2 linked regions of the Daphnia pulex genome follow. The protein of the gene in region 1 interacts with the protein of each later gene in a pairwise test. Links are inferred from orthologs where the notes say so. Each region holds a gene or a part of one and is shown in the gene's direction. Other genes may lie near its edges.

Evidence for each region.
Region 2: the proteins of neural Wiskott-Aldrich syndrome protein-like (region 1) and formin-binding protein 1-like interact in a two-hybrid assay, tested with the Drosophila melanogaster proteins (3 studies listed by BioGRID, with this or other methods). The link is inferred for Daphnia pulex from reciprocal best matches to the Drosophila melanogaster genes WASp and Cip4.

Annotation. Positions count from the first base shown.
Region 1 is NC_060019.1:7,011,694-7,015,451, reverse strand, and holds the start of neural Wiskott-Aldrich syndrome protein-like, read left to right. Parts: upstream 1-1,446; 5' UTR 1,447-1,589; exon of another isoform or gene 1,590-1,606; intron 1,607-1,649; exon of another isoform or gene 1,650-1,795; 5' UTR 1,796-1,814; coding exon 1,815-1,916; intron 1,917-1,984; coding exon 1,985-2,212; intron 2,213-2,284; coding exon 2,285-2,381; intron 2,382-2,442; coding exon 2,443-2,729; intron 2,730-2,829; coding exon 2,830-3,615; 3' UTR 3,616-3,758. Other genes in the region: wiskott-Aldrich syndrome protein-like, read left to right, coding at 1-149; pleckstrin homology domain-containing family J member 1-like, read right to left, coding at 347-580, 649-712, 775-944, 1,012-1,147, 1,215-1,264.
Region 2 is NC_060028.1:4,802,188-4,805,845, reverse strand, and holds part of formin-binding protein 1-like, read left to right. Parts: intron 1-1,930; coding exon 1,931-2,078; intron 2,079-2,898; coding exon 2,899-3,171; intron 3,172-3,549; coding exon 3,550-3,658.

The DNA of each region.
Region 1 (3,758 bases):
GCTTTTGCAACCGAATCAGTAACTGCACACCAAAAGAAAATAACCATCAACGTTCACGGCCACGCAGCTTCAAAAGAAAGAAGATTTCTAAAAACGACATTAGTTTGCCTGTTGATGTCAATGTGATACAGCGGAATAGCCAATTGTAACAAGTGCAAACCAATGCGACGAACGAGAGGCAGTTTTTCTTTGAGCCATTATTTAATGACTAGATTTCGAAAATCAGCCGAACATAACTTAATTTGCTTAATAGAGGAATGTTAATATTAATTACACAAATCTATCTAAATCTCTTTATGATTGGCACGTTTTTTTTAAGTCGGACGGTTGTTTTTTTCATCACTAATCACCATTTGATCAAGTCTTGATCAGGCTGTTTGTTATCACTTATGAAAGAATTTATCGGCAGGGGATTTTCGTCAGACATGTGACTCACAAATGTTTTTGCTTTAGGCCCGATACGTTTTCTGGCTGGGGGCGTAGGTAAAGCGGGAACTGCAGAATTGGAAGGCTGTTTAAATACACTACTTGGTGTAGTACTACTTGATGATGCTGCTGTGGTACTCCATTTAAAAATGCTCTGAACATACCAAAGATTTTATCATTTTAACAATAATTTTCCCTTAAAATTTTTCCTTTTAAACTTACCTTTCCACCAAGACTTTCCAGTTTACTCTCTAAAATTTTGACTTGGATTCTCAAATGTTCATAACTAAATAAAAATTAATTTTATGTCAGCACTGTCCATGTATGAATTATTATGAAAAATTTTACCTGGCTTGCCTCAAGGCTATGACCCAATTCTGTGCTTGATTCACACTGAAGCAAGAGAACACATGTCTGTCTTGATCACCAGAGAAAGTAACAACAAAAGCAAATACCCCAGATCCATCTTCATCAAATGCTACGGAGCAATTTTCTAAAACTATCACACCAATAGGCTCCTGCAAATGAAATTTTAACAGCTTAAAAATGAGACCAAAATTCTTATTTTCTGTACTTCAAACCTACATTTCCTTTAATTCCTCCAAAATTGTTCAAACCGAAGTAAAAAAGAAGATTGCCTGTCAATTTAAACCAGAATTCCTTGAAATTTCCTTTCGACTTTCCCGGATGAAGAACTCTGTAATTTATTCTTCCTTCAATCCTATTTCAAAAAGAATTTTTGTATAATAGTCATCGTATTTATTCTAATACACAATCTAATGTCTCACGTCGCAGGTTTGAAGGAGGTGGTTATTAATTCTTTTCCATTCACATGCATTTTGGTTTAAAGAATCACTGAAAAAAATATATATATTCATCAACAAGATAAAAAATAATGATATATGGAGCAAATCGAATGAAGAGATAAAAGCACAAAAAGATGAAGTTCTTAGAAATGAAAGGCGATCAACATTCCGAACATGAAGTAAACAACTGATCCCAACCCGTGATTCTCATAGCGTTTATGAATTTACCGCTAGATGGAATTGTTTCGTCCTGTCTGATGTGGACCAAACCATTGGACCGTATTGGACTATTTCCTCAAGATAAAACTCTCGTATCTTAAAATTGTGAAACACCGTGTGTAGATCTTCATGAGACTGGTAAGGGAGTGACTGCCGTAAGTGTTTATGAAATAAGCGTATAAATAATAATTCAATTGAATGATAATCGTGAAAAATTCGTTCAAACAATAAGAACTACTTATCCTTATTTACAGTTGTGTGACAGTTACAATTTAATATAAATTTGTCGATGTGTTTACTAGTTTTCGATCGAAAGTTTAATTGACACATTTTGAAAAATCTAGAACCAGTAATAACATTGCCATGACTGCTGCCAAGCGTCCCCAACCTGAAAACAAACCATCATCTATTCTTTCACTAGAAGAAAATGATCAATTATTTAAACTCATTGGCTTGCGCTGCAAAGTAAGTCCCCCCAGTACTAGATTCTTCTAAAAGTCAACATTTAATGTTTTGTAATTTTTCTTTTTCAGAGTATGGCGTCAGCTGTGGTTCAGGTCTGTTTTGCTGATCCACCCAATAGATCCACATGGAACAAACGGCATTGTGGTGTAGTCTGCTTCATCAAAGATAATATCAAGAGATCCTATTTCCTTAGAGTATTTTGCCTCGACAGGCAATCTGCCATCTGGGAGCAAGAATTGTACAGTTCTTTTGACTACTGTGCACCAAGACCTTACTTTCACACTTTTGAGGGAGATGTGAGTCCTGACATTCATTTGATCATATTAGTAAATTACAATATCAATTTGGTTAATATTTTTCGAATGCAGGAATGTCGCATCGGGTTTAATTTTGCTAATGAAGGCGAGGCAGAATACTTTCTGATGGCTATCAAAGAATATTTGAGGATGAAATCGGAGAAACGAGGTGTGTACATTTTGATGTTGACAAATAATGGTTGATTAATAGCTCAGTTGTTGTGTTTTAGAACGCCGTCGTTTATCACAGCAGCAAGTGCAGCAACCGCAACCAGGAAAACCCACGCCAGTCGCCACGAACGGATCGGTACCAAAATCTACAGCAGTACGATCAGCGACAATCACAAACAGTATAACCGTGACAAAAAAAGGGAAGAAAGACAAGAACAAGAAAATTACCAAAGCGGATATTGGAGGGCCATCAGATTTCAAACACATCAGTCACGTTGGATGGGACCCCAATCAAGGATTTGCACTTGACAACGTCGATCCAAATCTGTTGAAGTTCTTCGCCAGAGTAAGACGACTATTTCGCTCAGCATTTCTGTGTTTAACTTTTCTATGGTCTTAACTTAACTTCTGTTATGGTTTAACTTTTTTTTCTTTTGTAATGAAAGGCCGGCATATCGGAGAATCACTTGAAAGACAAAGCAACACGTGAATTCATCTACGATTTTATCGACAAACATGGAGGAAAAGAAGCGGCTATTCGTGAGATTTCGAGTTTACAGTCATCCGGCGGCAGTTTGTTTTCAGCACCTCCGGTGCCAGCAAGGAATCCTCCGTCTACACCTCAGACGGCAAGGATCGCTCCTCCGGCACCACCCGTTTCAGCTCCACCGCCGCCACCTTCAAGAGTGATTGCCTCCCCTCCATCTGTTGCTCCTCCAGCACCTCCTCAACGTGCCCCACCACCGAAAATGGCACCAATTAACAACGTTGCACCCCCACCACCTCCTGTCGGTGCACCTCCTCCTCCTCCACCACCTCCACCGCCTCCTTCATTTGGTGGACCTCCTGCTCCTCCTGTTCCTTCATTTGTTGTTTCGTCTCCGTCACTCCCACCCACTCCAGCTCAACCCGATGTCCGTGGCGCCCTGATGGACGCCATCAAAGAGGGACACAAACTCAAATCGGTGCCGAGTGATGCCGATCAATCGATGAAGAGTGGCGCTAAAGTGCCAGCCTTCGATTCACGCAACGATTTGTTGGGTCAAATAAGAGCAGGAAAGGAACTGAAACCCGTGGAGAAAAAGGCTTCTGTTGTTGCCGTCAGCGACGATGTCATGGAAGGTATGGCCGGTGCCTTGGCCAGGGCCTTGGAGGAAAGATGTCGTGTCATCCATTCCGACAGTGATGAAAGCGGCCAGGACCCAGATGAAGATGACGATTGGGACGATTAATAAAATTTTTGTGAAAATCGTTCCCTATATCAAAAGCAGTCCTCGAGTTTGACGTAGTATTATTTTAAAGAGACTTATTAGTCTTTTATCTTTCACTGGAATTTAATTATTTGCAATATTGCTTCTGCCTAAATCTTCCAGTG
Region 2 (3,658 bases), on another chromosome or scaffold:
TGGGAGACGAGACAAGGAAGACGAGTATCAAACGAGTTGTTGATCAGGTGCACGAAACATAACGGTTCAGTGAGTTTCTTTAACAGTTTGAAAACTAGTCCTCCGTTTGTTTAGTTTTGTTTTGTTGGGGGGAGAAAAGGGGTGAGACTAGGCTGGTGGTCCATTCCGGTCATAACCCAACGCTTTTTTTCTAGTCGGGGATAACGAACGAAGTCCAAAAATGAGCTCCAATCAACTGAAGTGAATTTTTTTGTCTGGCTTCAGGGAACACTCGGTGAACTATGTAGAAAAAAATTCAGACGGTAACCGTAGAATATTGGGGCATCCTCTCAGCCCACCCACTTGTCACCAATGTTCACACCTTTTCTTTCTGTACACTTCGACCTTTTGTAATCCAAGAACCTTATTCTCCAGTTATTGTTTCTTAATTTTTATATCGACCAAGCAAATAGATGAACATTTTAAGATTAACCACTAATCACCACGGACAACATTATCAAATGGGTTTTTCTGGTTCAACTGTGGGCTAGATAAGATTAACCACTAATCGTCACGGACAACATTATGAGTTTGAAATGGGTTTTTTTTTAAGAAATCATTTGTGGGATAGATAAAAACTCAAGTTATTACTTTTGTCAAGTTTAAAAAAACGGAAACGAGAAAGACTTTTCAAATAAACAGACGAAATTTAGGGCGGGAGGGGTTGGCCCCATGATTGTAGACTGCGTTAGAGTCTTCCTTCTGTATTATCCCTCGTTACTTGCGCGTGTGTTTTTCTTTGCCTTCAAATGACGGTTGACCTTTCACTTCTCCATATAGGTCGCCGCAAAATGGATCAAAAAGGAGAGAGAGAGAGAGAGAATCAGGCTAATAAAATAAATTTCATTTTTATTTTAGAAAAGAGCTCAGAAGATTTTCGAATCCTATTCGCGCTAGTGTTGCTTCAAGGGTTGATATTCTATAGACAATCTTGTTAAGCAAAGACGAAGCCCCTGGATTTTTTTTTCGTGTTTTTTGTGTGTTTTTTTGTTTTTCCTGTCGCTCTGTCGGAGGAAGAATTACTCAGTCACGCACTGAAAAGGGGGCTATGTCGTGTTGCTCCACAATTCCCTATCTACCGTCTCGCTCCATTGCGTTTCTCAGATTATACTGTTGAATCTGATTCGCAATTCGTGCGCTTCCTCGGCTGCTATCTCCGCACTCGAGGGAAGTTGTCGCTGAAAATCTAATCAGACCCACCAACATCCTATGGCTCTTCTCTCTAGCTTCTCTCTTTCTGGGTCGTCAGGGGAGGATAACGACAATAAGGCATGGCGACCATCTGCTGAGTCATTCCGTCAGAATGTCCAATAGGTGACAAACCCACAATCCCAGATGATTAGCCTTTAACGATCCTTAAAGGGAAATATGACGGCCAGCAGCTAATTCCTATCATCATCAAGCTAATGTGCGATTAGCTGCTGCTGCTGTTGCAACTCAAACTGCACCTATTTCGCAGTCGGGTTGAGGGAGAACGAGAAAAACGAGTTATTTGTTATTTCCGATTGGCGAGAGATATGGCCGTGTGAGCATCTCGCGTTTTTATTTGTTTTCCTCCTTTTCGTAATGGACTCGAGCGTGCGTGTGCACGATGAGCCTGGGAATGAGATTTTTCTTCTCTCTCTCTTGTTGCTTCTCTCCTCTCGATTGCTTTTTCTTTCGTCTGGTGCGTCGTCATTTTTATTTTGAAATTTGTTCATGTTGTGTTTTTCTCGTATCCATCTCACCGTATCCGAACGACTCGTAATGGGTTCCCATGCGGCGCACCGAACGTCCATGGTGAACCAGCTGTGCCTTTTTTTTTTTTTTTTTTGCCGCAGCTCGGGCCCGGCATCGACTTTGAATTTGAACGTGTGGCATAATAGATCTAATTTCCATTTTTCATCAACAGATTTTCGTGCCAGAAAGCCTTTCGTGATGTCCTGACCGAGGTCAACGATCAAGCCGGCCAACATGAAGTGGTAGCCGAAAACCTGACCTCTGCCGTCACCAAAGAGATTGTGGCTCTCGTCAAAGACTTGAAAGAAGAACGCAAAAAGGTATATTCAACGTCCTGTCTATGACTCTCTTCGTAATCGTCTAGCATTTGGATAGGTCCAGCATCTTCCATCACGGTTTGAAATTAACCCCAACCAAAAAGACAAACTTTTCTGCGGCTCAAAAAAAGCGGAAATGGTTTCCAAGTTTTTAAATCGTTTTTATTAACAAGTTTGTTCGTTAGTGGCTTGCGAGTAGTGGGGAAGTAGCAACGACGGAATTCGACGGTATCCCTTCTCATGCTTGAACGTGGATAGCCGCAACTTGAAACAAACACACACACACATACACGTTGTGCTTCAAGGGCATGTAGACTTGGAAAGTTGTGATTATCATCAAGCGGTTTGAAGGCATTGTCTTGTTTTCGTTGGGTGGTGGTTATCCAACTTTAGTGCGGGCGTGCGTGTCCCATTCAATCCACTTTTCTTCTTCCAGCAGTAGCTTTTGGCCTTTGGCGTTGCAGCCAATTTTTTTCTTTTTTCTCTCCTCCCCACGTAACGCAAACAAAGAGAAATAAATTAATATCAAACAGATATATATCCATTACTTTAATACCAACGTCCAAAATGGAAAGAAGCTGAACAGCCAACAGACTTTTGTTTGGGTAATAATAGCCTAAGGGTGTGTCACACTTTCAAAATTCGATGGCAACCTTGAGACTCGACGTTTTACTTTCCATCTCCTTTTTGAAATTAGGTTCTTATTTTTTCAATTGAATGAAAGTTGTGGATGGGCTTCATCGGTTTGCGGCGCATAATTTGTTTCATGATGACTTCATTATTTGATTTGATTTGATTTGATTATTTTTGAATTGTTTGATAGGCCCTACAGGAAGGTGCGAAATTGCAGTCTTCGTTGAACCAGCAGTTGTCGGCGCTGGATCGAGCGCAGAAAAACTACGAAAAAGCTTTCCGGGAAGCGGAGCGGGCCGAGGACGCGTACCGCAAAGCCGATGCCGATCTGAACCTCTCGCGGGCCGACGTCGAAAAGCAGCGCATCAACTCGTCCATCAAAAGTCACCAGTGCGATGACAACAAAAACGAGTACGCCAAGCAACTCCAGAAAGCCAACGAGCTTCAGACGTGTCATTATCAGGTGCGTGGGAAACCAACGGCTTTTTGTTTTTCATCTTTTTTAAACAAAAAACAAAAACAAAAAATGAAATAAGACTAAAATAAGGAAAAACGTCAAACCGTTTTTGGCGAGCTTGTCCTGATTATCAGCCAACGAGGTTTCGGGACCATCCCGGATGGTAATAAGTGCGCTAAAATGATTGTGATGCTGTCATTATTTGTGCTCCCTCGCTGTGGTTGGGAGGAGCTGTCTCGGCAGATGTTGCATTAACGTCAACATGGCGTGTACGTAATAATAGTTTAAAAAGAAAAAAAAATCTGGCCTGTGCTTTTTAGTGCGTTTCTAATTTATTGATCGAAATAATGTTGACGTTTTTTTTTCCTTTTTTTCTTTTTGCAGACGGCCCTTCCAGGTGTATTCCACACCCTTCAGGAGTTAGACGACAAAAGAATTAAACAGGTCGAGAATTTCATAAGGAAAGGTGTGGATATAGAGCGCAGTGTCTTTC